Linked DNA regions of Caenorhabditis elegans. The protein of the gene in region 4 interacts with the protein of the main gene of each other region in a pairwise test. Each region holds a gene or a part of one and is shown on either strand. Other genes may lie near its edges. The genes, in order: kel-8, F09E5.7, vab-23 and pas-6.

Evidence for each region.
Region 1: the proteins of pas-6 (region 4) and kel-8 interact in a two-hybrid assay, tested with the Caenorhabditis elegans proteins (2 studies listed by BioGRID).
Region 2: the proteins of pas-6 (region 4) and F09E5.7 interact in a two-hybrid assay, tested with the Caenorhabditis elegans proteins (3 studies listed by BioGRID).
Region 3: the proteins of pas-6 (region 4) and vab-23 interact in a two-hybrid assay, tested with the Caenorhabditis elegans proteins (3 studies listed by BioGRID).

The regions. Positions count from the first base shown.
Region 1 is NC_003283.11:2,667,961-2,675,868, forward strand, and holds the start of kel-8 (BTB domain-containing protein), read left to right. Parts: upstream 1-3,503; coding exon 3,504-3,563; intron 3,564-5,025; exon of another isoform or gene 5,026-5,040; coding exon of another isoform or gene 5,041-5,087; intron 5,088-5,135; coding exon of another isoform or gene 5,136-5,616; intron 5,617-5,669; coding exon of another isoform or gene 5,670-5,832; intron 5,833-5,891; coding exon of another isoform or gene 5,892-6,013; exon of another isoform or gene 6,014-6,207; intron 6,208-7,908. Other genes in the region: W02G9.4 (CUB domain-containing protein), read left to right, coding at 441-716, 1,036-1,131, 1,867-2,020, 2,107-2,226; thum-1 (THUMP domain-containing protein), read left to right, coding at 5,041-5,087, 5,136-5,616, 5,670-5,832, 5,892-6,013. UniProt on the Caenorhabditis elegans protein: Substrate-specific adapter of a BCR (BTB-CUL3-RBX1) E3 ubiquitin ligase complex that regulates degradation of glutamate receptors in neurons. The BCR(kel-8) ubiquitin ligase complex mediates ubiquitination and subsequent degradation of rpy-1.
Region 2 is NC_003280.10:5,347,318-5,354,546, reverse strand, and holds F09E5.7 (PI31_Prot_N domain-containing protein), read right to left. Parts: upstream 2,461-7,229; 5' UTR 2,439-2,460; coding exon 2,373-2,438; intron 2,326-2,372; coding exon 2,163-2,325; intron 2,118-2,162; coding exon 1,634-2,117; intron 1,553-1,633; coding exon 1,330-1,552; 3' UTR 788-1,329; downstream 1-787. Other genes in the region: F09E5.8 (Pyridoxal phosphate homeostasis protein), read right to left, coding at 2,613-2,743, 2,884-2,954, 3,138-3,322, 3,368-3,448, 3,502-3,582, 3,635-3,734, 3,786-3,871.
Region 3 is NC_003280.10:11,894,971-11,904,372, forward strand, and holds vab-23 (C4H2-type domain-containing protein), read right to left. Parts: upstream 6,241-9,402; 5' UTR 6,226-6,240; coding exon 6,143-6,225; intron 4,034-6,142; coding exon of another isoform or gene 4,023-4,033; coding exon 3,863-4,022; intron 3,679-3,862; coding exon 3,494-3,678; intron 3,369-3,493; coding exon 3,146-3,368; coding exon of another isoform or gene 3,125-3,145; exon of another isoform or gene 2,594-3,124; coding exon 2,483-2,593; 3' UTR 2,395-2,482; downstream 1-2,394.
Region 4 is NC_003283.11:5,581,583-5,588,140, reverse strand, and holds pas-6 (Proteasome subunit alpha type-1), read left to right. Parts: upstream 1-3,797; 5' UTR 3,798-3,806; coding exon 3,807-3,956; intron 3,957-4,002; coding exon 4,003-4,195; intron 4,196-4,244; coding exon 4,245-4,315; intron 4,316-4,364; coding exon 4,365-4,494; intron 4,495-4,544; coding exon 4,545-4,783; 3' UTR 4,784-4,980; downstream 4,981-6,558. Other genes in the region: CD4.11 (MAM domain-containing protein), read right to left, coding at 1,645-1,750, 2,167-2,249, 2,297-2,588, 2,914-2,959. UniProt on the Caenorhabditis elegans protein: The proteasome is a multicatalytic proteinase complex which is characterized by its ability to cleave peptides with Arg, Phe, Tyr, Leu, and Glu adjacent to the leaving group at neutral or slightly basic pH.

The DNA.
Region 1 (7,908 bases), 2.9 Mb from region 4:
CAAAAGCTGAAAATTCAAATTTTCCCAAAATACAGTAACCCTACCGTATACCTACAGTACCCCTACAGTACCTTGACATTATCCCCCACCAACACCCAACCCAATTCCTCTTCAAAAGTTGAAAATTCCAATTTTTAAAGTTACAGTAACTCTACCGTATACCTACAGTACTCCTAGAGTATCACTACAGTACCTAGACTTTATCCCCCACCAACTTCCAGAGAGTTTAAAAATCAGAGATCAAAAGTCAAACTACATAGAGACGATGTTACGTGGTGTCAGAATGTCGCATTTCGGTTTGATCTCCGAGAATTGCGGGAATTTAGATGCAGACTTCTTAGCAGAAAAATGAGCTAAAAGTGTTGTCAATTCTGAGGGCATAGCCAACCATTTTGACTCCGACATTTCACGTACCCCATCATAAAAGTCAAAAATTTCAGCTCAACAACGGTTTCCGGCGACAAAACCGGATTCGCGCTCGACATTCAAGCCTCTCAAGTGACGCTTGTCTTTACCAGCGACTTGACCAACACGTTCCGCGGATTCCTGATCCGATACGACAGTGTGCCGGTAGGATCCGTGTACATGCCAACCAACTTGTGCTCGAGCATCCTGCACAACAGTGAATTCGATATTATCACCTCGCCAAATTTCCCGTACAACTACCCGGATAACATATCATGCGCGTTCCTGATCAAAGTCTCTGCTGATCGTTTGTAAGTTTTTACCTGAGTAGATCAAATTAGCATGACGTTTTTGATCTGTAGATGACGTCAAAAAAGCAAGTCATCATTTTGATAAGGTTGTATTTATGACACATAGGGTCAAAATTTGTCTACGCAGCTTTTTCGTTTAAAAAAGTCATAAAAGTCTAGGTAGTTTTCAACAACAAGAACAATTATTTATGCTCAAATTTCAAAATGGTCACGGTTACGAAAAGTGTGCTCCCCGTGCACTACTCGAAATTTCAAATAAGATGATGAAATATGACCACATAATCCTTGATAGTGAGTTCATAAAAAGTGACATTTTCAGGATCTCCTTCCAATTTGTCGCCTTCAACACAGAGGACGGATACGATGTAGTGTCCGTGTACGATGGAGCGAACACTTCCGCACCGCTTATTGGACAGTAAGTTAGACAGGGGGTAGGGGTAGGTAGGCGAGAGGTCGACCTAAAGCGGACTAAGGTAGGCAGGCGATCTGAAACCTAGTCTCAATAAAAAGCCGTAATTGGATCTAACTAAAGCAGAAAAACAGAAAACTCCATAGTTTTTATGACTACCTACCAATATTGCTATATTTCATATCAAATATCATACTCTAGAGTAATCCTACAGTACTCCTACAGTACCCCGACCATATCCCCCACTGACCCTAAACCAATATCCCTTCAAAAGACAAAATTCAATTTTTCCTAAACTACAGTAATCCTACAGTACTCCTGCAGTACCTCTACCGTACTACTACAGTACTACTACAGTACCCCTACAGTACTACTACAGTACCCCGACCATATCTCCCACTGACCCTAAACCAACATACCTTCAAAAGACAAAAACTGAACTTTGCCTAAACTACAGTAATTCTACAGTAATCCTACAGTACCTCTACAGTACCCCGACCTTATCCCCCACTGACCCTGAACCAATACCCCTTCAAAAGACAAAAACTCAATTTTGCCTAAACTACAGAAATTCTACAGTACCCGACCATATCCCCCACTGACCCTAAACCAATATCCCTTCAAAAGACAAAAACTCAAGTGTTCCTAAACTACAGTAATCCTACAATACTCCTACAGTACCCCGACCATATCCCCCACTGATCTTAATCCAAGGATACTATAAAATAACCATTTTTTCAGTTATTCCGGAAAGAATATGCCAGCTCCAATAACATCGACGAGCAACACTTTGTACCTGTGCTTCTCCTCAGACTTGGTCACCAATTTCTCGGGATTCTCCGGTCTGTATACCTCATTTGTCTCGAACAACTTCAAGCGCGGAGTACTACCACAGGTGAGAAAAGATCTAGGCCGGCTTGGAAGCAGGCAGGCATTTTTGTGCCTAGGTACCTAGGGCTTCACTAAAAACTAATCTTTCAGTCCCTGACAACGGATTCAGTGGCGATTCGTCGTGACAAGAACATTCTCGACTGGCTCAAAAAGAAGGCCGAGGAGAAGAAGCTTATTGGAGCTGCTGCAGCACCGGTTATCTCTATCTAGTAGTCCCCCGAAATTCTCAATATGTAATGAATTATTATTTCTTCGCAATTATTTTTTGCCGCTTACTGTATGAAAGTGAAAGGAAAATTAGAAAATTAGTGATGGGGGGGGGGGGGGGGTGATAAGAGAAATCTGGGTTGAAGGGGGAGGGGTAGGGCGATAAAAAGGGAAATTTTAGGAGGAAGAGAAGCTGGTTTTTAAAAAATAAAATTTTTGTTCTATGCCCGGACGCGGGAAAAATTTCACATTGATCTACAGTAGATCATCATCACGGGCTTCTAGTAGCGGTTTTTCGCGCTCCATTGAAAATCGGTGAGCGGAAATTGCAGTTCGGCAAAGGAAGGTTTCAAATTCGGCAATTTGCCATTTTGCCGATTTGCCGGAAATTTTGAATTCCGGCAAATTTCACGATTAGCCGGAAATTTTCAACTCCGGCAATTTGCCAGTTTGCCGATTTGCCGGAAATTTTCAATTCCGGCAACTCCCCGATTTGCCGGAAATTGTCAATTCCGGCGAGTTCCCGATTTGCCGGAAATTTTCTATTCCGCCAGTTTGCCGATGTGCAGGAAATTTTCAATTATGGCAATTTGCCGATTTGCCGGAAATTTTAAATTCCGGCAAATTTGCCAGTTTGTCCTAAATTGTCAATTCCGGCGATTTCTTGATTTGCCGGACATTTTCATTTCCGGTAATGTGCCAATTTGCCGAAAATTTTAAATTCCGGCATTTTGCCGATTTGCCGAAAATTTTCAATTCCGGCAAAAATCGACCCCAGCCGTGGCCGAGTCAAAATGGCCTGAATATAATCAAATGTGCTCCAACGCACCAGCCGACTGTGACGGACATTATTCAGGGCTTGACCTACAGAAATCGTTTGACCTACTGGCGCCTCATTATAAACTCATATGACGTCACAAATTTCAATAATTTCCCGCGCTTTCTGGAGGTCAAAGTGCCCATCCTCAACAAAACATCCCGTTCAGGGTCCTATCCCCAAGTCTCCAGACCCTAAAGCCTACAATCATAAAGCTTGTCACTAAATAATTGCCATGTTTTTGTCTGCCAATCAACTGACTGTCCCCCTCCTGCTGTGGTATATTCAGAAGATACCAGAAGCTGTAACAAAAGACGCAGGACGTACAAGACAGGTTGAGAGAGACACTGTGGGGGCGCAGACACACACAAAAAAATCAGGGGGCGGGAAGTGAATCGAGAGAGGAAGAAGCTGGCATCTAGAATACCAGACTGACAGGCGACACACACCACGAAAAAAAAACATGTGGACCTTCAACAGATCTACCGCGGAGGCGCCAACTATGCCGTCAAGCTCTAATACGGTAGGTGGTAACTATTTTACTTTTTCTGGAATTTCATTTTGTAAGCTACCACGGATTTCTGGCTTCCCTCTCATAAATTGAAATGGAAGAGTTTGCCAAACTAGGCCATTTTGGCTCGGCCATAAGTGGGGTAGATTTACGGCGCGTTGCGTGTCGCGTCGCGGCTCGATTTTAGTTGTAAAACTAAGTCTATTTGTCCGTGTGGAGTACACGATTTTAACACGCGTTGTCCGCCGGGCGATTGTCAATGGAGCGCGAAAAATTCTCTGAGGAAAGACAGAACCCCGTGATTTTGGCCTAAAAATCATTAAAACAGGAAAATTGCCGAAATAACGGGGTTCTACCCTTCCTCATTGAATTTTTTGCGCTCCATTGATAATCGTCCGAAGGAAAACGCGTGGGTAAATCGTGTACTCCACACGGACAAATGCATTTAGTTTTACAACTAAAATCGAGCCGCGGCGCGACACTCAACTCGCCGTAAATCTACCCCAGTAATGGCCGAGCCAAAATGGCCTAGTTTGGCAAACTCTTCCATTTCAATTTATGAGGGTAATCAGAAATTCGTCATTTTGGCCTAAAAACACCAATTTGGCCTAAAAACATTAAAACCACGGGAAATTTGAAACAGGAAAAAAATGGCAAAAAATTCTTGGAAACCGGCGAAATCGGCATAACTAATCCAAAACGTTCGAATGTACTATTTTGCCGCCAAACACCTAGCGGGTCATGGTGCGGGGGCCGAGAATTTCCTATTGGCAGTGGAGCGCGTTTCCACGTGGATTTTTCTGCGTACCCATAATAGCCGCGTCACACAGTTAGTCACCCAATTTACTACCTAATTGCATGGCCTTTGTGTCGGAACTCGTTTTTTTCGTAATGTCGCAACACATGGTACATAGATAAAAATCTCGAGATAACCTATAGTTCAGTTCAAATGTGAAGCAAATTTACTGGTGAATCGGGAAAAAACTGGTAAATTGTTCGGGATATATACTTATTATACATCAAAAATTGCTCGAAAAATTGTGAATTTCAGCTTTTTTTTCAGGAAATATATATTTTCTAGAAGAAGAATACCGGAAAAAGGTGCGGGTCATTTTGCACGCCATCACGAAATTTTCGCAAATTCCAGCGTTTCCGTCAAAATAGTAAATGTATATTCAAAATTTTTTCATCTAATTATCAAGTGAGGCTGCTCTTTTCAAGTTTCGCTGTAAAGAACCGCCTCTTTTTCGTAGTTTGTTTCACATAAAGTGGTGGTGACTCTGCAATTAAAGGTGTGCAAACGCGCTCTGTGGTTACGTGCAAGAGAGAAGAGATTTAGAGAAGTTGGAGGGAATATTAATTGTTTTTTTTTGTTTTTAATTGTTTTTATGTGTTTTTTTCGCATTTTTCGTTGATTTTTCGTTAAAAAACTTCAAAAACAATAATTTTCATTCAAAAATTTCAATTTTTCCAGAAAAAATCACTGAAAATGGCAGATAACGACAGAAAACGAAAGCATAACCGATGGAATCAAAAGTGAGAGCTAAAATTTGAGAAAAAAAAACTATTCTAAGACAATTTCAGAGTTAAACAAAAATCTGTGGAAGCCGGAGTGACCGGACTATTCTTTTCCTGCGAAGGCCACGAAAAGCAGGCCCTACAAGAAGCCTACAGTATTATTGACGAGCTTCTCGAAGACCCGGCGAATGGAATCTCTCTTAAAGCACCAGAAGCTGCTCCACAAGGCTCAGAAGCACCCGGAAATCCAGCAGAAGCTGAAGATTCCGATGAAGACATTGCCGATGCGTTGAAAAAGGCTTGTGATGATCAGAGGCAGCCGAAGCCGGGAAATTTCGTGAAAAAAGAGAGAAGATGCATTCAAAGACCGACGGGAGTGAAGAATTGCATTTTTGTGAGCGTGAAAAACGCGAATATTCAACTTTTAGCCGAAAAAATGGTCGAGCTGACGCAAAAAGCTCCGCGTTGCAGGTTTTTGCAACGAGTTTACCCGGTGGAGCATACTTTAGCTGTGGATCTTTCAAAAATGAATGAAGTTTTGATGAAGGTGCTTTTATTTAATTAAATTAATTAATAAAATAAAAAAAAGTAATTTTTCAGGTAATCTCCGACACATTGAAGGCAGACGGCACTGGCAAACTTCCCACGTATTCCGTGGAATTTAAAGCGAGAAATAACGATTCTGTGGCGAAGAATTCCGTGCTCCAAATGGTCGATGACGCCGTTTGTGCGCTGGCTCCGACTGCGAGAGTTAGCCTAAATCGTTAGTGTCTCTAAAAATCTGAAAAAATTTCAAAAAAATCAAAAAATCAATGATTCCAGACGCCGACGTCACATTCTTCGTTCAAGTATCTCGTACGACAATTATGGTTGGCGTGTGCCGGCAATTTTACGACCGCCGAAAGTATAGTCTTCGTGCGACGCCGGCAGCGGCAGCGACATAAGTCTCTTCTTCGACCTTTTTCCCCCTTTCACCCAGCGCCTCATTGGCTCAGTGGCAGAGCGTCTGTCTAGTAAACAGAAGGTCGCTGGTTCGATTCCAGCATGAGGCACCGAATTTTTTTTGTTTTTTTCATTTGTTCTGTTAAAATACTTTGGCTATTTATTTGTTAAAATACATGAAATTTGAGATTCGATTGTTAATTATTTTTTAAATGCATGGTATCTATAACTGTGACGTGTCAAAAACTCAGGTCGACCCTTGCTCGCGCGCGTCTCATGCACAACCGAGCAAGAAAAAAAACGTGCAACCAACCCGAAAATCTAGCTCACCCGTTCTGCGCACTCCCCAAAATCAACACTATTTCGCTCTCTCGCAGCTCTTCCAAATTGTCAAACAAACCGAGTAGTTACACGCACCCCCCGCCGAAACTCGGGAGCATTCAATCTGGCCTGGTTTTCCAGTATGCTGAAATTTTTTGGACTATTGTAAATTGTTTGTGAAAAAGGTCTCGCCACGAACGAAATATTTTTACAATAATCATTTGTGTGAAATGCTGTGCGTCTTTTTACCCGTTTATTGCAATTTTCACATGGTGTCAGGTTGTCCCATAACGGTTTGATCTACAAAAAATGCGGGATTTTTTCCACCAAAAAATGTGACGCCATCTGCACGTTCTTAACCATGCAAAATCAATTGAGAAGTCTGCGTCCAAATTCCCGCATTTTTGTAGATCAAACCGTTATGGGGCATTCTGACACCACGTGATTTTTCTGAAATTCTCTTAATTTTACGCCAAAAATACGGTACCCTGGTCTCGACACGACAAATTTCTGTCAAATGCGAATAGGTGTGCGCTTTTAAGGAGTACTGTAGTTTGGAACTTTCGTTGCTGCCGGATTTTCGTCGATTTTTATAGCTTTTCGATAAAAATTCAACTACAAAAAACCTATAAAAAACGATTACAACCCCGCCGCCGCATTGAAATTTTAAAACTACAGAACTCTTTCGCATTCAACAAAAATTTGTCGTGCCGAGACCAGGGCACAGTATTCTTGGCGCAAAAATTACAAAATGTCGGTTTTGGGTAATATTCTGCAGACTGAAATTTTGGCGCATGCATAACATAGTTGACGCGCAAAATATATCTCGTAGCGAAAACTACAGTAACCCCTTAAATGACTACTGTAGCGCTGGTGTGTCGATTTACGGGCTCCATTTCCGAGTCTATAGAATATTAAAATCCAGTAGATTTTTTTCGAAAAGAAAATCATTTTAAAAAATCGAGCCCGTAAATCGACACAAGCGCTACAGTAGTCATTTAAAGAGTTACTGTAGTTTTCGCTAAGAGATGTTTTGCGCGTCAAATATGCTGCGCAGTACGCATTCTCAGAATTTTGTGTTCCCGTAATATCATCACGGCCCGAGAACTGGTACTCTTAAAAACGACACCTTCATTTTATGAAATTTGAAAAACAAAATGATCGAAAAAAAAAATTCTCTAATTTTTACACGGAATTCTGGCTTCCTTCATAAATTGAAATGTAAGGGTTTTGCCGAACTAGGCCATTTTGGCTCGGCCATATCTGGGGTAGATTTACGGCGCGTTGCGTGTCGCGTCGCGGTTCGATTTTAGTTGTAAAACTAAATTTCGTTGTCCGTGTGTGGAGTACACGGCTTTCCCACGCGGTGTCCGTCAGGCGGTTGTCAGTGGAGCGCGAAAAATGCAATGAGGAAGGCCAGAACCCCGTGGTAGGCAAATTTCGTACCACTTCTCGGGACATACCGTTATGTCAATTTTCCAAAAATTTCAACAAAAAACGAAAAGGTTTTGAATCCAGTTCTAGGCCATATTTTCACTTTTTCGTCGTCATCATCGTTTCACCTTCTTCTCACTTT
Region 2 (7,229 bases), on a different chromosome or scaffold from region 4:
TCATCTGAAAAAAGTGCCAGAAAATATGAGAAACTTTTCGTTCCTCCCATCTTCCACCCACTCATCTTCTCATCTTTCAGATATTAATTAGAAAATACTCGAAGATTCGGTGAAGATATATTTTTTTGGAGCCGAAACTGTGTATATCAAACATCTCATAATTTGAGCAAAAATATCGCATTTTTATATTCATGTGGACGTGAGAGAATTTCTGGAATTGTTGTAAATATGCGCTTGAGGTTCTTTGGTTTGTTGTAGTATGCTTACTACATATAAAATATAAATCAAGACTCTAAATACCCTATTACTCATTTTGATGATTCGACTATTGACATTATTTATTACTAATTAACTCAGCAGCACCCGTTCCCCTCGAAAAATAAATTGGGTTTTGGGATACTGTAGTCTTAGTTTTGGAGCTACAGTAACCCACGATTGGCACGTTGAAACTCGCAAACATCCGTTTTTCTGCAGGAGTTCCATCCAAATTCCGAACTAAACATCCCAATTTACTTTGAGAAACCAATTTTCGGCTGAAACTGACCAATATTTTAAAATCGAGTGTTTTGGGGTACTGTAGTGAGTGCGCATTTTCAGCTTTGGACGTCTAAATTTGGAGTCATTAAAATATCATCGTCCTTACTACCAATAAATTAAAAAAGCCTCCGTGGTCAAGTGGCTCAAAATTTTGGCGTTCACGCAGACGTCCACTAGTTCAATCCCAGCGGTGGCAACTTTTTTTGCTTGAAGTTTTGTGTCATCCTAGAAAAGGAATTAGTTGAAAAAATTATGGTTGACATTTTATTGGGTACTATCAAACATTCAGGACTCACTTTTTTTCATTTATTTATATTTATTCATCAGGCAACAATCATAATGATACAATTACAACAAAGCAGTGAAGTGAAGGAAAAAAGAATGAATAAATAGATATAAAATAATCATTTGGACCCGCAAGAGTCCGGTGACTAAGTATGAGGGGGGGAAGAGGGTAAAACATTGTCAACAAAAAGTTGACCGGGACGTTTTCCGAACAAAATTTCTGAGACAGGCTTTTCTGAGACAGGCTTTTATAGTCATGTAGACGTGAGAGTTTCTGGAATTTATAAGGCTTTTGTGTGTTTGGTTTCTTGTAGCATGCTCAATACATATTAAATATAAACCCCCTCTAACCTATTTTCCGATTTTGATAGATATCTTGGTTTCGTAGTTTGCATTTTTAATATTGCAAGCTATACAAGACTTTTCTAATTTTAACACGCTCATGGAGCTGACGGAGTAGCATTCAAATAAATATAAAATACACATTTAATACAACAATTATGGTTTTCAGATGTATCCGTCGAAGCCACCACCACCTCCGTTTCCACCGAATCTTCCATTGGGATCTCTCATGAATGGTCTTCCGTGACTTCCTCCTCCACGTGGCTGTCCTAATGGGCCCAGTGGATTGAGATCCGGATGATCAGGTCCACGGAACAGGTCTGGAATGTTTGGATTTCCGGCGCGTGGTACACCTGGTGGCAAGAAACCTCCGAGGGGATTGTAGTATCTGAAATTTCGGAGATGAATGCATCAACCTTTAGGAAAAAAAATTGAAATTAAATTTGACAATGAGAAATCGGAAACTCACTCAGTATCCGGATCAGGAAAACGATTCCCGTAAGGGTCATGAACAGGATGTCTAGGAGGATGACGTGGTCCACCGATCATAAGCGGATTTTCATTACGAACTGGTTCATTTCTTCTCGCTGTAGTTCTCGACTCATTTGCTTTCTGGCAATACATTCCATAGAATTTTCGGCCGGTGGTGATCGTATTTTGTACAGTTTCATTTCCAAAATCATTGTTTAAACGTTTCTTCCAGAATGTGTTATCGACCGCATCAGATGTAAGAATTTGCTGAGATTTCTTGTTCGATAAAATGAGTTTTGCAACACTCTTGGGTGTCAAGTTTTTCAGAATTTTGTCACGCAGAGAGCCGAGCATCAAAATATGATTGAGAGTAAGAGCTGATCCAATAGCAAGCACGAGTGGATGAAGACCTTCCGACAAATCAGATTTCAGAGAAGACGAAGGAGTTACTGTGAAAGAAGCTGCGATGGAACGGAGACTGTCTGAAAAATCGAATTATAACTGACAATTTTATTTTCAAAACTTACTTTTTATGACATATCCAGTTATGATTGCTTCAAATCCTCCATCCTCACTGATGAAAACCTGACCAACTACTCCAGAGTTCTGTGGAACTCCTCGCTTGGTGCCTCCGAATTTTAATTCAAATCCTTTCGTTTCAGGTCCGTTCCAAGATTTCATGCTTTCCTCCTGAATGAATCACGCTTAATTTGCTTAAAAGTAAAGAATTAACCTACATGTTGCTGCTCATTGAGCATTAATTCTCGAGTTTCCTTGAGAATTTCCGATCGGAAATTATCCATTATTCTGTGACTGAAAAAAATGCTGAAGGAACTGAAAAGTTCAATTCAAAAGAAAGGTATTTAAACAGTAACAGCAACTGAATTGGAATCTGGTAATTAAAAAAAAAGTGAATTTGAATAGTGAATTTTCTTTAAATACTAAAAAAATAACAAACTAAAAAATGGAATGTAAATCTATTTATTTTTGTATTCTCTGGCTCCGAACAGCTTGCTTCCCACTCGAACACTTGTTGCACCTTGATGAATTGCTTGAAGGAAATCATCGGACATTCCCATTGAGAGTTCTACTGAATCCGCAGATTCACCTGAAATCAATACTTTTCAAGTTTTTGTTTAGAAACTTTGTGGATCCAACATTTCAAAACATTTCTTGAAGCATAAGTTTTATTTTTTGACGTCAACCACTGACGGTTCTCGCTTTGATTTTTCTAGAAAATCTGTTCACCTGTTTGTTCTGCCCATGTTTGTCGGACTTTGAAGAGCTTCTCGAAATCCGGATTTTCTCCGCTTGCGTGGCTGTAAAATTGAACTTTTATTTTATGGTAAATATTTAATTTATCGCTTGTTAGCTTGATCATTATTTACAAGTAATAATTAATATAAAACGTTCATTTTCATCATTTCTTACACCTATTTCCATTTCACCTGCCACTGAACAACTTTTTAGTAGGATAGTCGTAACAATAAATAAATATATACCTGTTGTCAAACGATCCGATAGTCATGAATCCATCAAATTTCAAGTTTTGGCATTCTTTTCGAATGAATTCCGCAAGTTTCGGTGCTTCTCCAATCTCGATTCCTCCTTTATTATCTTCTCCGGATGTATTTACTTGCACGAGAACTCGTAGTGGTGACAAATTGGCTCCGTGTTTTGACCATTCCTTCAAGATATTTAATTAAAATAGATTAATAGTCACTAAACACACCTTGTCGAAAATCCGAGCATGTTTCTCAGTCTCCACTGTTTCAACACACCAAAGTCCAGGAGAATTGCAAATTTTTCCAATCTAAAAATTTTTAAATGATTAATAAATAAGGTAAATTTTCCATCAGAACTAACTTTATTTGATTGCACTTGTCCGATAAAATGCCAACGAATATCTAAACATTTTGACGCCAAAACATCAGATTTTTCTTCAAGCTGAACAATAAGGAATCATTTTCAAAAGTTTTGTTGATGATTTTTCTCTCACTTCTTGGACGTAATTCTCTCCAAAATGACGCTGATTTTGAGAATAACATGCCTCTATTAAATCAGCAGACTTTGTTTTACTGACAGCAACAAGTCGACATCTGAAAAATTCATTATTAATTTAGTTTCGCAATAATTTCCGGTTTACCAACCTTTTTGTGGCTTGCGAAGCAGTAACGGCGTCGGCAACGGCTTCAATAATGTTGAATAGACTTTTTTGTACAATTTCTATAGACATTTTCTACCTGAAAACTATATTATTTAGTTCTAAACACGGAAAAGGAAGGAAACAACAAAATAAGAAATTTCTAGAGGGGGTACGTTTTCGTAAGGGGATTTTTTCGTAAGGAACGCTTTCAGTAGGGCAATGTGCGGCGCGCCTTTTCGCAAGCCCGCCGCACAGTCCTTCGCAATGCGCCGCACGGCTTTTTGCAATGCGCCGCACGCTTCTTCGTATTTATTTATTTATTTTTCCAACAGGAAATTTCGAACGGAATTCAATTAAAAACGGATTTTTAATGGAAATTAATTAGTTTTATTCGAGCTAAATACGGATATTTTCAGAATTTTCGATGACAAAAACGGGTTTCATTCGATTTCGAATCGATCAAAATTAATATTAATCGAAAATGAGCGTTTCCTTCCCGGAAAAAAGAAGAACTTGATGCTGAGAGTGATCCAAGCGGAGCCAAACGCTTTTTTAGAGGCAAGTATTGATGTCTAAAGATTAATTGAAGAGTGAAAAGTATTTTTCAGCGTTCGACAGGGATCTAAAGAAGAAAAGAAATCCGAAAGCGTCTACTACAAATGTATGTGAATCGACTCCTGCAACAATCGATCTGGTTACTCCACCTGCATCACCACGTCGGTCTGATTCGTATATGCAGTTTCCTTCAAATTCTCGAGAGCTCGATGAGCCGAGATCCACTGACGATATCCCGGAATGCGATTCAATAGCCAATTCTACTCAGGAAACAAGCTTGGATACAACAGATTCCATGGCAAATACTGAAAGATTTTTTGATTTTTATCCAGCTGTATTTCCCGAAGAAATGGATCACGATCTACAGGAAACAAGTGAATTCAATCTTCTGTGTAGGTCTTAACTAATAATTAAATAGAAATAACAGACGTTGTATTTTTAGGTCACAATTCATATCAATCTCCGTTTGAAGACGAAGAGACTCCATACCATCCGGATTGGTTTTTGACAAATAGGTTGTTATTAATCAATAACTCTATCAAAATATAAAATTCCAGCAAGTCACACGTGTTACGTTCTCTGATGCACTATAGACCGATTGCCAATAGCCCAAGAGGGGTGCTTGAAATGGCACCGGAATATATCAGCGAGAATAGTTCAGATTTTTGGTATGCCTTCTAACTTCTAAAACAATTAAACATAGAAACTATGCAATTTCAGTATTTCGACGAAACGAGGAGCTCCATTGGTCATTTTCAACAATCAAAGCTATCGTCCGAGAGAAACACTGAAAAATGGGGACATTGTGGCTAGGTGAATTATCGCTAGGAAAAAATTGTCACACATTTCATTAATTTATTTCAGATGTAACGTTACACTGGAAAACTCGAGAAAGTGCCCCGGATCCGTGCGTATCAAGACTGAGACAGGCCATGTGAAAGTCAGTCGTGATTGTGATCACGAATCGAGGAGAAGCGAAATTGCAGTATACTGAAATTTACGTTTTTCAAAACTAAATTTATATTTTAGGTGCAATTAATTATGAGAAAAATCGCAGTTTCATCAATGTCTTCTTCACCATCAAAAGAACGCCTTTATGAGCTTGCTGTTACACTTTCAAAAAGATATGAAGTTGTTGAACTTCTCAAGAGCAACGTAAATAATAAATCGTGGAATCAATAAAACATATACTTTTTCCAGAAAGAAATCAGTCGCATACTGGACGGTATGCTGAGTAGGAAATCGACGAATAGTTTTCCACCAGCCCTCGATTCTGCCTATTTTAAAGGAGGAAAATGTTGTTTAGACAGTTCTGGAACGTTTGAGTCTAATAAGGATTTGCTAGTTGTGTGGCAAGCAGAGGAAGCTGAATCTTTGTATGGTGCGCACAGCTTGCATTTGGATGGGAAATTCTCAGAAATTCCGAAAAATTATCGACAGCTTTACATCGCAACAGTCACGGTGCGTATTAATTGAAAGGTATTTTGATGTCAACCAATGACATTGCAGGATCTCGATACGAACGTGGCAGTTCCATTGGTTTTTGCTTTGTGTGGCTCTGCCAAAGAAGATTTGTACAGACGTTTGTTCCTATCTTTCCTACGTAGTGGAATCCAACCAAAATACGTATTTTCAGGTAAACGTTGGTTATATTTATTAAATTTATCAACCTATCCAGACTTTGAAGTGGCCAGTGTTAATGCGAGCAGAGCTGTGTGGCCGAATGCGGACATTTTCGGATGTTGGCGTCACTTCAAAGTGAATCTTTTTAAAAATCTGCGAAAAGGTAAACCTAAATATTTAATGCTGCTAACCTAATTCAAAATTTCAGCTGTTGGAGACGATATCAATAAGCCGGAATTCGTGAATCTTTTAAAATCGATTTATACTCTCAGTTTTGCTCCACACGACAAAGTACTTCTTTGGCTCCGTCTTCTGAAATGTTGAACAGTTAATATTCATCCAGCATTGAAAGGTTTGAAAAATCTTGTCATGAAATCAATTATTCTCGTTTTTCAGATTTCTTCAGCTACCTCGAAAAATTCTATTTTGGAGAAGATGCTCGATATCCCGTTGATTTTTGGAACTGTAAAGAGAGGGTTCGAAACGGATTAGAGTTCACAAACAACCCGAGTGAGCAGCAATTTTCCAAGCTGAAGGCAAGTTTCTTTTTGTAGTTTTTTAAGTTCTCAAATAGGTATATAATATCGATTTGTTTTGTTTTCCAGAGAATGTATCATCACAACGACTATCAAAACCTGCGAGGAGTGATTCAAAAGACCATTCAACTATCAAAATCATTGATCCTAGACTTGAAGAGACGATCCGGAAATCGAACAACCGCTGTGCCATTATACAAAAACCCCGATTTCTGTACTTCAGTGTTTTTGAATTATACCGGTTTCAGTGCTTTTAATGAGAAACTTTTCCCTTTTATGGAAATTCCGAAATGCTATCACTGATCTCTTTGTTTACCTCTGTGCCATTAGATTATAGAAACAATTTTCCATACTCAGGTTATCCAAATTTCGCCATGATTTTTCTTACTTAATTTAATCGAATTAACTTTTGTTTGCAGTTTTATTTTCCATTTCGACTGAATAAAAAATCACTTCTATCATTTTAATCGTTTGGCTCCGCCTGGATCACTCTCAGCATCAAGTTCTTCTTTTTCCGGGAAGGAAACGCTCATTTTCGATTAATATTAATTTTGATCGATTCGAAATCGATTGAAACCCGTTTTTGTCATCGAAAATTCTGAAAATATCCGTATTTAGCTCGAATAAAACTAATTAATTTCCATTAAAAATCCGTTTTTAATTGAATTCCGTTCGAAATTTCCTGTTGGAAAAATAAATAAATAAATACGAAGAAGCGTGCGGCGCATTGCAAA
Region 3 (9,402 bases), on a different chromosome or scaffold from region 4:
CGGAAAATAGGCAAATTGCCGGAAATGAAATTTTCCGGCAAATCGGCAAACCGGCAGATTGCCGGAATTGAAAATTTCTGGCAATCCGGCAAACCGGCAAATTGCTGATTTGCCGAATTTGCATGAAAAAAAGGCATTTGTCCTTTTTCGGAAATTTCAGAATTTCAATTTCAATCGACAAAATTGTACGTATCATATGAATGCTTTTACATCTATTTTGAAAAGTAAGCAAATTATATAAAAATGTCTAAAGAAAACGGGAAAAGACTTTCAAATAGGCACAGTTTTAAATGTTTCTGCCTTATAAAAAATCCTTTCAGAATCTTCCGGCAAATCTGATATCCGGCAAACGGCAAATCGGCAATTTGCGGAAAATAAAAATTTCCGGCAAAGCGGCGAACCGGCTGCCGAACTTACCGAACGGCAATTGCCGCCCACCCTTGATGTACGGTACTAGTTTTTTGACATTTATAGTGTAAAAAAAAAGTTTCAAGCTCATTGGGAGCATTGAATTTTGATTCAATTTTTTTAGCAACTTTTCCGAACTTTCAATGAAGACTAAATTTATTTTCAGAAAGGTCAAGTATTTTTCTGTTTATCTACATATATAAATTTTAAAAAAAACCTATAATAAGACGGTAATTTCAAATGAAATAGGTAGATGCTGGTCATCTAGTTTTCAAAACTTGGCTCAACTTAGCTCCAAAAAAAGTGTTCTATGTATGATAGGTAGGCATTTATCATGCCTACCTACAACATATTTTTTACATTTTGGCATTTAATTCAACTCCACTTACACAACAAAAACAGCTGTAGATGGGAAAAAGTTAATGAAACCCAGAAAAATCCTGAGCCCGACACAGACATTCTTAATGAAAAATTCTGATTTTTAGTGATTTCCATTACTTTTCTTGGCTAAATGAAAAATCTAAATATACCAAAATAAAGTGCCACACACACTGGAAAGCGAGAAAAAAAATGGTGATAGAAAAGAAATTTGCATATGACAATAAAATCGCGGTGACCGATAAAAGACGATTGGCTCATAGAGAGCATTTGCATAAAAATAAGGTGCGTCTTCGTGGACATATTGATGGAGTTATGGAGCCGAGAAATATGTGAGGAAGGTGTGGATAAGAATTGAAAATGTTCGTTTAGCACCTAAAAACACCTAAAAATCACAGTTGTAATTTATAACTGATAGCTCGGTTTTTGAATTTATTTCACCTAGAAAACTTGAATAAATTTCAGATTTTGATTGGAAGTAAATTTTTGAAATTAAATAGGAGCCACAAAAAAATAATATGTATATTGTTTGCCAAAAATCAGAAAAAAAACAGAAAAACTGGCTAGAGATCTAAATATCGGAGTTTATAGGAGGAGTGAACATCGGAGTTCACAATAAAATCCATTAAGTTGGCGGTAGGCAGTCACGTAGACCAATAGGAACAGTGCAGGCACCGGTGCCTACAGTGCCTACCTCCAATTGAAATTTGGTTCATTTATCGCTATCAATAAAATAGGGAAATTTAGCATGAGAACTGAAAAATTGAAAAAAATAGAGACAAGAAATATGGGCTTCCGCTCCACTTTTTTGTTCTATATTTTTTCCCCAATTGTCGATCATCTTCTGGAAAGGCGCTTGTGTTTTTCATGAGTCAGTTCTTTCAGGAAAAAAAAATGGAAAAACTGTGAATCACGGAAAAAGTTTAAAAACAATTCAAATGTATCGGGAAATAATGTAACATGAGATCGGGGATCTCTGCCTACTTACTAGAGTTAAAATTGCTTGCCTGCCTACATATTAACTACGCCTACAATTTTGCAAAGGCGGCGGTAGGCAGGCACGTAGGCACATAGGCACAGTGCCTGCCTACCATTAAAATTTGGTCAAAGCCGTGTTTTTCAATGGGGGTTTTTTTAAAGTAAGAAAATGATATAAAAATCATGAATTGAAATTTTTAGAACTTCTCAATTTTCGATGAGTCTAGAACATTTTCAAATTAGGCCATTACTTTTTGAAAATTAATTTTGAATAGTTTTTTTAATATTTCGTTTTTAAATATTCCAAAAAATTTCAAAGTAAGAAAAATCTTAAATGTTGTATTTTTTAATATTTCTGGACCCGGTGGGACCTCAAAAAAAAAGAAGTTTATTTTAAAAAATCTTCTAGACTCAAATTTTTGGAGCAAAATTTTGATCCCATATACACTCCGCAGCTGGAAAACAAGACACAACTATTGTAGAATGAGTTTCATCATTTTGCAACTCGATTGACATATCTAAAGGACGTGGTACTCAAGGACCTGTCAATTGACATTCTCATCACCTATTCTATGTTTATATACTCATCATTTAGATGGCTTTCCCAAAACATATCAAAAAATTGGAAATAATGTACATTAATATTCATTTATGTCTTCAGGGAGATCACAAAGTAATTGCAAAAAATAATTTTTAAAAAATGGTAGAAAAATAATCTTCAAGCGTCCTTTCTCTTTGGTTTTTTTGGATTCTTGCTCCGGCTTTTGCTCTTACACATTGGGCATATTGGAGCATTTCGGTGAATTTGTTGGTAGCAGGATTGGCAAGTCTGAAACGAGAATTTTTGTTGGGGAAAATGTTGGGGAAAACTATACAGGGTCTGGAGCAATACTACAATAAAGTTGGTTGTACCAAGGGTGAGGGGCAATCTTCGTTCGGCAATTTTTTTTAGACAAATTCGGCAAATCGGCAAATTGCCGGTTTGCCGATTTTCCGGATATTTCTCATGCCGTCAATTCGCCGGTTTGCCGATTTGCCGGAAATTTCAATTCCGGCAATTCGCCGATTTGCCGGAAAAATCATTTCTCATGTACTACCGTTTTGTCATATGTTTAAAACGTCTCCAGTTGAAATAATTTTGTCTATATATTTGCACAGCAACTTTCTATAGAATACCTCTTTTTCTACAGTACACGTAGGAACACCCTAATATTTTTATTTTATTTCACATTAACCATAGTTTTTATACATAGTGTATCTCAACTTCTATAATAACCATTTTTCCAAAATAACTAATATTTTTACAATAATACCAGTTTTTACAATTTCCTAACTACGCAACCTACAGTAACCCAATCTACTACAAAAAGTTCTTAACTACCTTCATTGGCGGTGACTGGTGATCGGTGACTTTAAGTTGATGATGCTGCATGGCTGCAGCCATATGCGGTGGTGGCCTGAACTGTGGGGTCGGTGAATTTGTCGAAAAACTGCCAAGCTGTTCAAGTAGCATTGGTTGGAACAAATTTCGGAAGTTGAAGTTTGGAAATGGAGATGGAAGACCGCCGGATAGAACCGGAGTGACTGGAGCTGCTGGGGGTTCACTGAAATATAATAACATGATTCTTTTAATCTGGTGCCTGTAATACTTTAGAAAAGTTCATATTTGAAGTTTTCACTTTACTGTAGAAGAAATTCTGACTCTAGCTCCTCAAGAAAAAAAACCTACATTTTCAAATGAGTCTGTGGTAGATCATCTTGGCTCAAAGCAATATCACATCCAGTTTCCTTAAGCTTCTCATTTGTGGACTCAATTAATTTCAGCAGTGCTTCGTATCTTTTAACAATTTTGCTCTCTCGATCTTTTTTCTCCGTCTCTGCCGCAGCAATTTCCCGTTCCAAATCGCTTTTGTCCTGAAAAAGTTGTGTGTTGCACTGTTCTTTGCAGATTTGTTGTAGAGGCGGCAAAATTTATCTATCAATGCTTAAAAAAATATATTCCTATGAGCTTGTAGATTTTTAGATTTCTAGAAAAAAGTTGACAGCTTGTCAAAGTTTGCAAGCTCTCAAAAATTATTTTTAAAAAACTATTTCTTACCTGGTTTATCAACTGAATAATCTCCGAATGCTCTTCCTTCTCTTTATTCAACTCGTCAATAGTCTTGGCAGTTTCCTTGATAAACTTTTCAGTATTCTCCAGCTCGCTGAGCTCCTCGAGCAACTCATTTCGTTTTGCAAAGTAGTCATCGACTTTTGTTCTGGAAATCATGCTTTGCTTTACTGTGGAAGCTTAAATTTTTTGAATATATTAATTAGAAATTAACTGTAGAAAAAACCAGATTAAATTTTTTGTCAGTGTAAAATTTTTCGGAAAAACCGAGGACAACAAGTGCTGGCTTCAATGTTTGAATCAGGGGTGGGCGGCAATTTCCGTTCGGAAATTTTTTTTGTCGACAAATTCAGCAAATCGGCAAAAAGCCAGGTTTGCCGATTTGCCGGTTATTAGTTTGCCGGAAATGTTCAGAGGATTTTTTTATAAGACGGAAACACTGCCTTTTTGAAAATTTCTTCCCGTTTTCTTTAGATATTTTCATAGAATTTTTACTTTTCAAAATAGATGTAGGAACATTCATAGGATACGTACAATTTTGCCGATTAAAATTAAAATTCTGAAATTTCAAAAAATGTTGTGCAAAACCACAATTTGCCGAAATTACAATTGGCGAACCTTTTCTAATCTATTTAAATATCGATTTCCAAAAATGTCACGATAAAATATCGCATTTAAAAAGTTTTCCCAAACCATTTCTGCTACATTCCCATCCCAAGCCCCCTTCACTCAACTCTACACGGTGAATTGAAGCGGCACAAAATTCGAAATTGAGGCGAGAAGATGGTCATAAAGTCACGCTTGGATAGCAAAAGGACATGATGGAAAGAGAGATGGCTTTTAATCAGGCACACCACAACCACACAAACATGACAAACACCGGATGTGAATTGTATGTATGTATGTGTGTGTGTGGGTATCTTCATGTAAGCAAATATTGTATACTAGAAGGTGTTTGGGGAGTACTGTAGAAGCGTGAATGTTTTAGATACCCCCTTATCATGCTCAAAGTTTTTATTTTTTAAATTAAGAATTTGAAATTTAATTGAAAGAGTCAGCCAACCAATTAGCGACGCGCAAGGGGTGTAGTCAAAGTTGCTGATTGGTGGGAGCCCGAAGACCCCACTCCCACAATAAAGCTCATCCCCATAATATAAAACTACTACAAGTAACCTTAAAAAGCCTACCGACACTTGTGTACACCTGGCGGCTCTTTTCTCAAGTGCTACTACCAAATCATCTCAATTTCCTATATTTTTATGCTAATTCCCTAATTCCTTCTTCTATGTGTGTGGGGGATTACGGTATGATGTTACGCAAAAGGTCGCAACAAATCCAATTAGCCTCTGTGTTTTTTTTCCTGTAAGGACATTTCCGTGTGGAGGAAGGCGCGAAATCACTTTGAAGTGACCGACTAGTACATACTTAAAAAGTTATGCAAGAAGGGGAGTGACCTTTGGCGCGGGGAACTTCAAAAAATTGCCGCGCTTACGGGTTACATGATTTTTAGTGAAGCCTAGCCTAAAAGTTGGCTGGAACTTGATGTGCGAGATATCGCACTCTTTGCCCTTCCGCCAGGACAGATATTGTTTATTGTCTGATTGATATCGCAATATTGAGCTTTGTTATTATTTAGAATCCTCCCACGACATTCTTTTGTTATCTTATTGTTTCTCCGCCTACATTTATTGTATTTAAGCCGCTTCCTCTGAGGGATCGGTATGCATCTTATAATAGAGGGCTTCACCCCAGCCACCCTCCAATCCGAACATGGTGCAAACTTTGACCAATTTCTCTTAAAGCAAGGTTATCAAGAACCTCAAGCAAATAGCAAAAAGTGTTGTCAAAGTTTTAGTACATATATTAAAGGTACATGTGGGTTTTGCAACGAAAAAAAAAAACTACTTTCAAAGTTGATATAATAGTTTTTGATTCAGATTTTAAAAATCCTGGAAACCCCTTTTTAATTCAAATATAATTTACCGTATGTCACTGTCGTTCTTTAATACATAACTTTTATCTTGGCTGTTTTTGGTGGTATCAACAATTGTTCAACAGATAAAATATAGCGAAAAACTTTAAAACAAATTTATCAGTAGGAACTAACTTGATTAAATAGAAGATTATCGAAATATGCACTGTCCAAGTTGAAAAATGATGGCGCAAAACTAATAGAGAAAACACGACGCTGCTGGGCATTTTTACCGTTTTTTTTTAAATCTAGTAGTATTAAATTTTAGTTTGCAGCATTTAAAGACTTGAACTCACTTTGCATTTGCAACTTTATGCAGCTCGCTCATCGACAAGATTGATTCGGCGCCCAAAATCGGCGAAACTGTCGTGGCGGTCATCGATGCGCGTCGAATCTATAAACGGAGATCGTAAAAGTTTTGGAGAAGAAGCACAACGATTGTCAAAAATGGAAGAAAAAAGACAGCAAAAGGAAAGTGTAAAAATTGAAGAGGAAGAACGTATGGGAAACGGAGAAGAGCCGGACGGCAACCAATAAGAATGTGGGCGGGGTCGGATATACATGAGGAGGAAGGATGTAGAGGCTCCTAAATCCATGTAGGAAATGTCAATGGGATTTAAGAATTAACAAGGATTTAGCAAATAACCCCAAAATCATTGTAGAATAGTTCTGTAATCTTATCCACTTTCTTAACTATAACATTAACGTTTATAAATTAATAGTGCCAACAAACAAATAGAAAAGATGCGCTGTCATTTATAGATCTAACCTTTTAACCGGTTACAGAGACCTTTTATCTTGATTTTGACAGGTAGCAGTGAGTTATTATTTTTATTGCACTAATTGAATACACAAATAATAAAGGTGCTAGTTGATTAAATCAATACTCAACATAAATCCTTACTTAGGGACGTAATAATGTTGTTCCTGATATCGCCATGATATCGCCTCTGTCTACCATAGAAGCCCAAGTGACAGATATCATATCGTCATTGTAAAACTGTTGTGAGCCCAATACATTGCTCAATAATCATAAATCCATCTAGTAGATGCCACGTGGCAGATCCTCTATATTTTGGTACTTTTTAGTTTATAAGCAACAGAGCTCAAGGAAGCGGAAAAGCACATGCTAAAAATGGAAAAAATGGCATAGGCTAAAAAAAACTTAGCATCTACAAAACTTAAAATGTATGAAAATATTCATGAGCTAGAACCAAAACCTATTTAGCTAGCTCAAAGTTAAGCCCAGAACATCTAAAAAGGAAACCTACAGAGTTCCAAAACCTTGTTGCTTCTCCCACGTGGCTTTAAGCTTTAAGTTTCAATATCTTATCAACAAGCACTCTCGAAGGATTATGTTACAGTAGGACACATTCGAATCCAAAACTTTCTCCATCTCGTGTTCCTTATCTAAAAGCAGTGTCCTCAAGGTTGTAACCCTTGAAAAGCGAACATGAATGTGATGAAATGTAAATGTGAATGAATTGTGTAAACTCCACCCTCCTTCCGCGAGATATGCAATTAGAGTAAGGCGTCTGCCCTCAAAGTGCTCGTAAATCAATCTAGGCCCATTCCTTCGGACCACTATCAAAACACATCTTATTTCCTCTTCTTACAAGAAGAAGAAATAATCGATCAAATGTTGCGGAGAAGACACTTTTTGTGGGGTGGCGGTATGTGCGTCAAAAGACCCCATCGATCACGTTCAGGTGTCTTAGAGGTGTCATGCGAACACCTGCGTGCTAATTGTGATCGGGATTTGAGGAAGTGCAAGAGGGGAAGTACTTGTTGGTAGAACTGTCAGGATTTGTCAGTTCCTGATGACAGGGAGCTTTTTTTGAAGTGGAGGAAATCTGGGGGAGCTAGATCAGGGGTGCGCAGCAGTTTGGCATGTTCTCTCAATGTTTTCATCAAAATTTTGTGGAAAATATAATATTTGCTCAGTCTGAAAATTATCTTCAAATGACTTGGAACAACATAGATCTAGGGCATTTCTATATAGAAATGCTCGAAAATTGTCTGAAAGTTAGATGAAAAATTCTGACAAATTATCGGAAAAAAGTCAACTTTCAGATAATTTTTGTGCATTTTTTCAGATTTTCCAAGTCAAATAGTTATTATTTTAAGATTAAGCACATATTTTACCATATTTTACAGCGAACTTTCTATAAAAATATTGGGAGAACATACCATACTGGCTCATTTTGTAGAATTGCAACTCGCGAGATGAAACGTATTTGGCGATTCAAAAACTATTTAAAAACTTTAACACTAGTATTCAAAAAGTGAGGAAAACTAGTTTTGCCCTATCATAGTTTTGGAAATTGACAAAAAATTTATTCTCCCATTTTTATATTGTATTCAAACATTCTACAGGTTCAAGCCAGCAGCAATGCTCAGAATTTCTCGAAAAGTTCAAAATTTTGAAAATTTGACAAAGCCTTACAACATACAAAATCTCAAGTGAAAAAAATTCATATTTAAACGAATCAAACTTGCGAAGAATTAATCGAGTAAAAATCAATAATTTTAAACATTCTCGCTAAAATTCTATGAAGCAAGCTCCTAGATGGTGAAGCTACTAACATTTATAAGTTTTTGCTGAAACAAGAAATAAGGATAAACCATATATTCCCATATTTAACCTATTTCTGCAGGACTACAATTCTCTGAGCTCATACTGGAGCTGTTTACAAGGTGACAAGGGAATATACTGCCACGTGGCATCTGCTACCGTTATACAATGTATTTACGATTATTGAGCAATATTTTGAGCTCACAACAGTTTTACAACAGTGACATCATATCTGTCACAATGTTTATTACTATGTAGGTGTCAGGAAAAAAGTACGAAACGAAAAAAAGGGTTGTTTTCATGTTTAACTTTGAACAAAAACTTGAAAATCGATGTCTTCGTGTCTCTGTTTGTGTTAAACGATGCAAGCGTGTCTCCTTCCCAACCGAAAATGGACAACTGAGAGAGAAGGGAGCGGGTATACGGTAGAGAAGAAAGAAGGAGGAGGGGCGTAGCTTTCTTTCGAGAATAGTAGTGACTATGAGTAAAATGCAATGAGGAATAACAAATTAGGAATGATTGGAACGGTGGTGGTGGGAGATGAATTTCTAATTTTCTAATTCATGTTTTTGGTTGAACTAGGTTGATTGGGATTAGATTGGTCTGGTTGGGGAGTTTGAATAGATTTAAAAAAGGTTTTTGGGACCACTTTGAGTCTATTAAAGCAAGCTAGAAACTCTACTCTACAAAGACTATAAGGTATAGCTTTTTTATACAAATATAGGACTTCGAGAATTTATTGTATGCAAAAAAATTTAGCTTTGGATATGTGACCGTAGCCTGGAACCTTTTTTTTTTTTGAAAGAAGCTCAGCTTCATATGTAGGGGATCGCACAAATTTGAGCCCCTAAAACTTTGGTCTGAATTTTTTCGGTCAATTTTGGCAAAGATCGTGTCATCTAAGAAAGAATCAAAAGGCTTTTTTTGTTCAGAAAACCTAAAGCATCCCAAAAGTTTTCAGAATTTTCAAATTTTATAAAC
Region 4 (6,558 bases):
TGAATGTGATCAGCGACGACAAGCACCACAGGATAATAACCCATCAACACCGGACCGATGATAAGATATTGAGAATTTATGGTCTTTATGTATAAATAAGTAATGAAGCGGCCGACACAATCTGAGAAACTACGAGATAGTTCAAACGGATCTGTCTGATCACGGATCATTGGATCAAGATGATTATTGCATCTTGCGGGTGTTACTTTTCGTAATCAACCGAAATGTTTCGTTTTAGTTTCGACACTAATCGTGACTTTGGGAAACCGCCAAACTAGGTGAACAATCTTCACACGTGGTGTCAGGCTGTCCCATATCAGCTTGGTCTACAAAAAAATGCGGGAATTTTTTCCCAGAAAAATGTGACGTCAGCACGCTCTTAACCATGCAAAATTGGTTAGGATGTATGTGTCAACTTTTCGAAGATCAAACCGACATGGGACATTCTGACACCACATATCTTCATTTTATTCATTATCAACCTTTTTGAGCAATTTGGAATGTGAAACCTTATAAAATTCCAAATTCAAAACCTCAGGTTTAATCTTGTCTTGTGAAATGCACAAATAATTCCTTCCTTGCAATCAGAGAAACCTATGTACTATAGTGGTAAATTTCATAGATCATGAGAAAGTTATAGTTTACAAATTATTCTAGTCCTTCTGAGAAACCAAATGAAATCAGTTCATCTTTCCGGTTAGAATATCGTTGAAAAAGAACAAAACAACGGTCAAGTTGGTGTCGATGGGAAGGGGTTGTATTCTGTTAGGAACACGGGTTTGGCATCACAAGGACACCGGGCTCTCCTGCAAGCAGAAGAATTAATCTGGTAACCCATCAACTCCGGACCGATGTGAGAGAATGAAGAATTGGCGTTGCTTATATACCCGCTCACGGCCGAGTGGCAGACATGTTCATGTGAAATGCAGAGAGACAGCTAGCGATTGCAATTGTGACAAATTTCGTAACAAGAAAAAATATCTTACTTTCACCCGAACATGTTTGCCGCTCGGCCGTGAACGGGTATATAAACAACTGCGATTCTCCATTCTCTCACATCGGTCCGGAGTTGATGGGTTACCCAGTCATTCTTCTGCTTGCAGGAGAGCCCGGTGTCCTTGTGATGCCAAACCCGTGTTCCTAACAGAATACAAACCCTTCCCATCGACACCAACTTGACCGTTGTTTTTGGTTTTTTGAAACGAGAATTCAATAAGGATTTAAAATTGGTTTCTGTTAGTTTTTTTTTGGAAAATCTAGTTAAAAGTTAACCCTTTCATGATATGAACACTTTATCACTGTTTTTCTGTTTTTCAGAATGAATCTTGCAAGGGTCAAAAGCTAAATTGGATATGCAATCTCGGTTAAAAAACCATAAAGTTTCCGATTTATCGGTTTCAAAAAATAATTTTTATTGAAAAAAGTATGGTATCCGTGATGAAACTTACCAAATGTAGATACATAAATTTCAAAGTTTTGTTTTCTAATGAGAATATAATAGGGATTAAAAATCGAAAAACTAGAATCCTATTTCTTATTTGCTTTTTCAGATGAATTAGTTAAAAGTTAACTTTATCAAGATTAAATTAAATTAAATTAAAAGATCCGAGATTTTACAACGTAGCTGTGAACTCGAAGACCTACTCGAATTTCACTTCAGCATCTCCATATTGACATGGAATTTCCATTTCAATTGCAGCAGTCTGTGGAAGAATCATTGGTTCGCCGCCAGCCAGTAGAAAATTGTTGTCTGAATTGTTATGATTAGTTGAAATCAACTGGTACTTTTACCCAATTAAAAAGTTAATAATAAATTTTTTTTTTAATGTTTAAATGATTTTTTGAAAATAGGAAAATGAGCCAATTAAAAATACTCCTATTCAAACATTGTAGGGGTTCGGACATGCGACAGCGATATAGTTTTCTCAAAAAGTGGCAAAATCTAAGTGATTGCCACTTTTTGCATGTCAATGAAAAAATCTAAAAAATTTTTTGGAACGTTTTACTATGATATTTGGCCATTTTGGCATCATATGAGCGTTAGGATTTTTTTTAAATACAGAATTTTCAAACTAACATCAACCAAAACTTTTGCTGAAATTTTCAAATTTTTCAATCTTTTTGGAATGTTTCAATTGATTTTTAGAAACAATTTGTTCCTCTTACCTGGTGTGAAACTCAATGGACTTCCAGAGTCAAATCTTTGCGAGTCAAAATTATTATCTGAGTTTAACTTTGATTTCCAGAATCTAAAAATAGTAATTTTTGAAATTCTATTAAAATTGAAAAAAAAAACTTCATGTCAGTGTCCGCTGCATTATGCCATCCACAATATTCCATATCATCGTCAAAATGACATGTAAGCTTTCCACCGTCGGATACAGTTAGCATTGGTTTCACAGGAAATGGGGTAAGAGATGAGATCGAACGAATTTCAGTTGCGGAGTACGGTAGATTTGATGTGAGGTAGTCAAAGTCAATTGCATTTTCACTTGTACGTTGTAGGGATGAGACTCCGCGAGCTCTGGCTCTTCGAGATGAAAATTGACTGTACTGAGAGCTCAGGGAGTGACAAGCAAAACTGGTATCTGAATTAATTTGAAGGTCATATCTAGCTAAACTTTTGATTTGAATTACCGCGCTTTTGTCTCTAAACCACACCTATTTTTCTGTGCCGCACTTTGCATTTTTACATTTTAGACGCAAAATGGTTCTAATCCGTGTTCCAATTTTCAATATAGAAAAAGCCCTACAAAATGAGCGATTTTTCTAAAATCCCAAAAATTAAATTTTAAATTTTGAATAACCTCAAGAGCGACCATTAACAAATTTTCATGATTTTTTAAATAAAAAAGGACAGAAAAAATTTGGTAGAAAAAAAGATTTCAAATCCAAAACTTTTTAAAAACTCACTCAAACCATAAAGTAGCAATATCAAGACATATATATTAAGTACCATACTTCATGAAGAAAATAGTTTGAAAACATATAAATTTCGATTTCAAATCGCCTTTCTCAAAGTTCAATGAGCGTGTGGTATTGCGTACTCCCGAGAATGAATATGAACTACTGGTAAATTGCCTAATTAGGTACGGTGTTTCACTGTCGAGAGTCACAAGAGAAAGTGGGTCAGTGGGTAAGAAAAGTGAATGAGAGGAAAGATATTTATTATTCAATAGACATGATTGAAAAATGAAACTAGAGATTTTCAAAGACAGAGCTTTGTAGTATAGCCTTGCCAGATTTAAACAGGAATTTCTAAGATATTGAAGTCAGGGAATCGGCCACCACCATCAGTAGACAACATTTTAAATTTTAAATATTCAATTCCTCAAAAATTAGATTCAAAATTTAATTCGACGTTTTCAATCACGTTTTCGCAATTTTCGTTCAATTTCGTGTAATATTTACTTGTTCACAGTTCTCTTCGTGGATTTTGAGTGTCTTTTTTTCGAAATTATTTTGAGGATCTTACGCAGTTTTCACCAGAAGAATTACATAATTCCATGGAATTCCATGCCTGGAAATTTCTTTCACTTTTTGCCGCCAGGTATACGGTAAGCAATTGCGCGTAAAGTGTGGTGTATGCGTACTCGCTTATTTTGTCATCCTTTCAAATTTAGAACTCATTTCAGAGGTTTTCTTTCGACTTCTAAATATTTTTTCTTTGTTTCTGTGGATTTAAATAAACTCCATATGTTTTTCTAACTCTTGGTTCATCTTGAATCACACTCTCTGCTTATAAAACTGCAAAAAATGGCTAAAAACTTCAATAAATTGTAATTAAGAGCTTTTAGGTTTGAACCATGTTCCGCAACCAATACGACGGCGATGTAACAGTCTGGAGCCCACAGGGACGTCTTCACCAAGTCGAATATGCCGTTGAGGCGATGAAGCAAGGTTCGGCAACTGTTGGAATCAAGAGTGAAACCCACGCTGTCATCGTCGCCCTGAAGGTTGGCGAAACAACATGTTAATTTCAATTAATTATATTCGTTTCAGAGAGCGCAAAACGATTTGTCGTCTCATCAGAAGAAAGTGTACGAAATTGACACTCACGCTGGAGTTTCCATCGCTGGTCTCCTCTCCGATGGTCGCATCTTGGCTCGCTACCTCCAAACCGAGTGCTCGAGTTGGCGTTGGGATTACAAGCAAGCGGTTCCAATCAAGAAGCTCGCTGAATCTATGCAATTGAGTAAGCGAATTTTGGAAGCAATTTTCTCAAGACATTGTTCTTATTTCAGAACTTCAAGCCAATACACAATATTATGGCCGTCGTCCATTCGGAGTTGGAATTCTGATTGCCGGATATGACGTAAGAACATCATAAATATAATTGTTCTTTTAAATATTTTTTTGTTCAGAAAGATGGAGCACACATCATTCAAACTGACCCATCTGCTGAAGTCGTCAGCATGCATGGAACTTCAATCGGAGCAAGATCTCAGTCTGCGCGCACTTACCTCGAGAGAAATGTTGATAACTTCGAGAAATGTATTTATTTCGGAATATAATTGATAAAATTGAGCAATTTCTTTTTTCAGCAACTCCGGAACAATTGATTGTCCATGCTCTCCTTGCTCTTCGCGACACACTTCCAGCCGAAGAAAACCTCAACGCTCAGAATACGTCTATTGGAATTGTCGGGAAAGATTCTCCATTCAGTCTTCTCGAAGATGCTCAAGTCGCCGTTCATCTCAACCAAGTTTCCACACATCCACGCACAACTGGCGGAGCAGCAGCAGCAGCAGCTCCAGGTGGCGCCGAACCAATGCAAATGTAGATTCTAATTTGAATCACAGACCATGTGAATTACTTTCGTCTCCATTTCTTTTTTATGTGACCCGTATAATTTATCGCCGGTTAATCTCCCTCTCGTTCCCGAATTAAATTATTTTCCTGCTCCAAAAGATTGATTACATATTAATTTCCTTTTTCCGTTCAACAGTCATGTATATGTTGCAGAAAGAACATTAAAGGAAGCACTTCTCGTCATTCGCGTCCATGCCTTCTGTCCATTAATGATGGATGTCTGCGCCGTAGTACACCACGCACCCGCCGTCTTCCGCTATTCCCCGGCGAGCTGCTCCACGGCATTATTCCATAGTTCTTCTCTTCAGTGTTCCATACACTACTACATCACTCAAATTGTAAATCAGCGAAGAAAGGGGAGCAAAAGAAGAAGAAGGGGAGGAGTGTGTGTGATGCAAGAGAGAAGAGTTTCAAATTTCGTCGAATTGAGATTGAAATCTTCTTTGTCGCAGTCAACTCTTTTCTTCGACCCACTTCTGCCTTTTTTTGTTTTTCGATTGGAGCTCTTGACAATTTTTATACATTTTTCTTCATTTAAAAATCCACAAATAGGTAAAAAAGGGAAGTAGGATTTACGGATCTACTGGAAGTTGTTTTTCTAACAAGCGGTTTTGCTTATTATGATCACGAGCAAAACCAAAAATGTTTCCCAAGCGAACCACAATCAATGCCCGACACCATTGTGTGTGCCGCTTCTGAATGAACTGAATAGAATTCTCTCGTTTCTTCCACCAATTCTTCTTTCATTCCTTGTGCCATTTGTCTGACAAGCGAAGAGAGAAAAGAAGAGCGCCCTTAAATGAATTTGTATCGAGCCAATGGCATCGGAGGGCCATGCGGCTCTGTGTGGCGTGCGTTTCCTCACTTCAAGCACTGCCGCCACCAGCACCAGCACACAATGTTCTTTTCGGCAGGAGGCGAGGTCTATTCAGCACTTTTTCTTCACTTTTAGACCAAGTTTTCGAACACTTTTGCACCGAGTGCACACATTGATTCGTGGAAATGATTTTTTTATCCTTGAAATTGTTTTTCTGAAGAAAATATATCCTGTAAATTTAAAAGTTCAAGTGTTTATTTAAAAATAGTCAATTTAATTTTGGAAAATAAATTTTTTTTAACTGCAAATAAGCTTGTTCGGTCGACTTATAGGCTGATTTACTCATAAAAATTTCAATTCAATGGAAAATATTATTCATTTTTACTTAGACGTCTAAAAAAATACATTTTATTTTTCTTTTATTATATTTAAATTTATTCAAAACATGGTGCAATAGAAGCACGAGCTACAGTAAGTTGCACAGTATGCCGGAAATTGTTTTCTTTAGACGTCTATTATTTTTTCGTGAACAGTCAAACCCCGCTTTAAAGGCACACGATCTTTTTCTGAGTGGGTCTCGACACGATCTCAGCTATAGTGATCACAACAAGTTCCAAATTTCACAAAATTGCTGGTCTTACTTTACGAGCATACTTCACGGGCAAATTTGAGCCAAATAGAAAATTTCTGATTCCCAAAAACAATTTAATATGCCCTTATTATGTAGATGTTTATAAATGGGCATTTCTGTCGAGGGTTTCGCCACGAGAACAGCGAGTATAACTGTATTATGCAATAGTGGCTCATAAATCGACACGAGCTACAGTAACTCCTTGCCCGCGTGGTGAGACCTTGCGCGTAAGATATGGCGAAAATTATCATTTACAGACGTCTACGTAATACATGCTGAACCAAAATATTGTTCGATA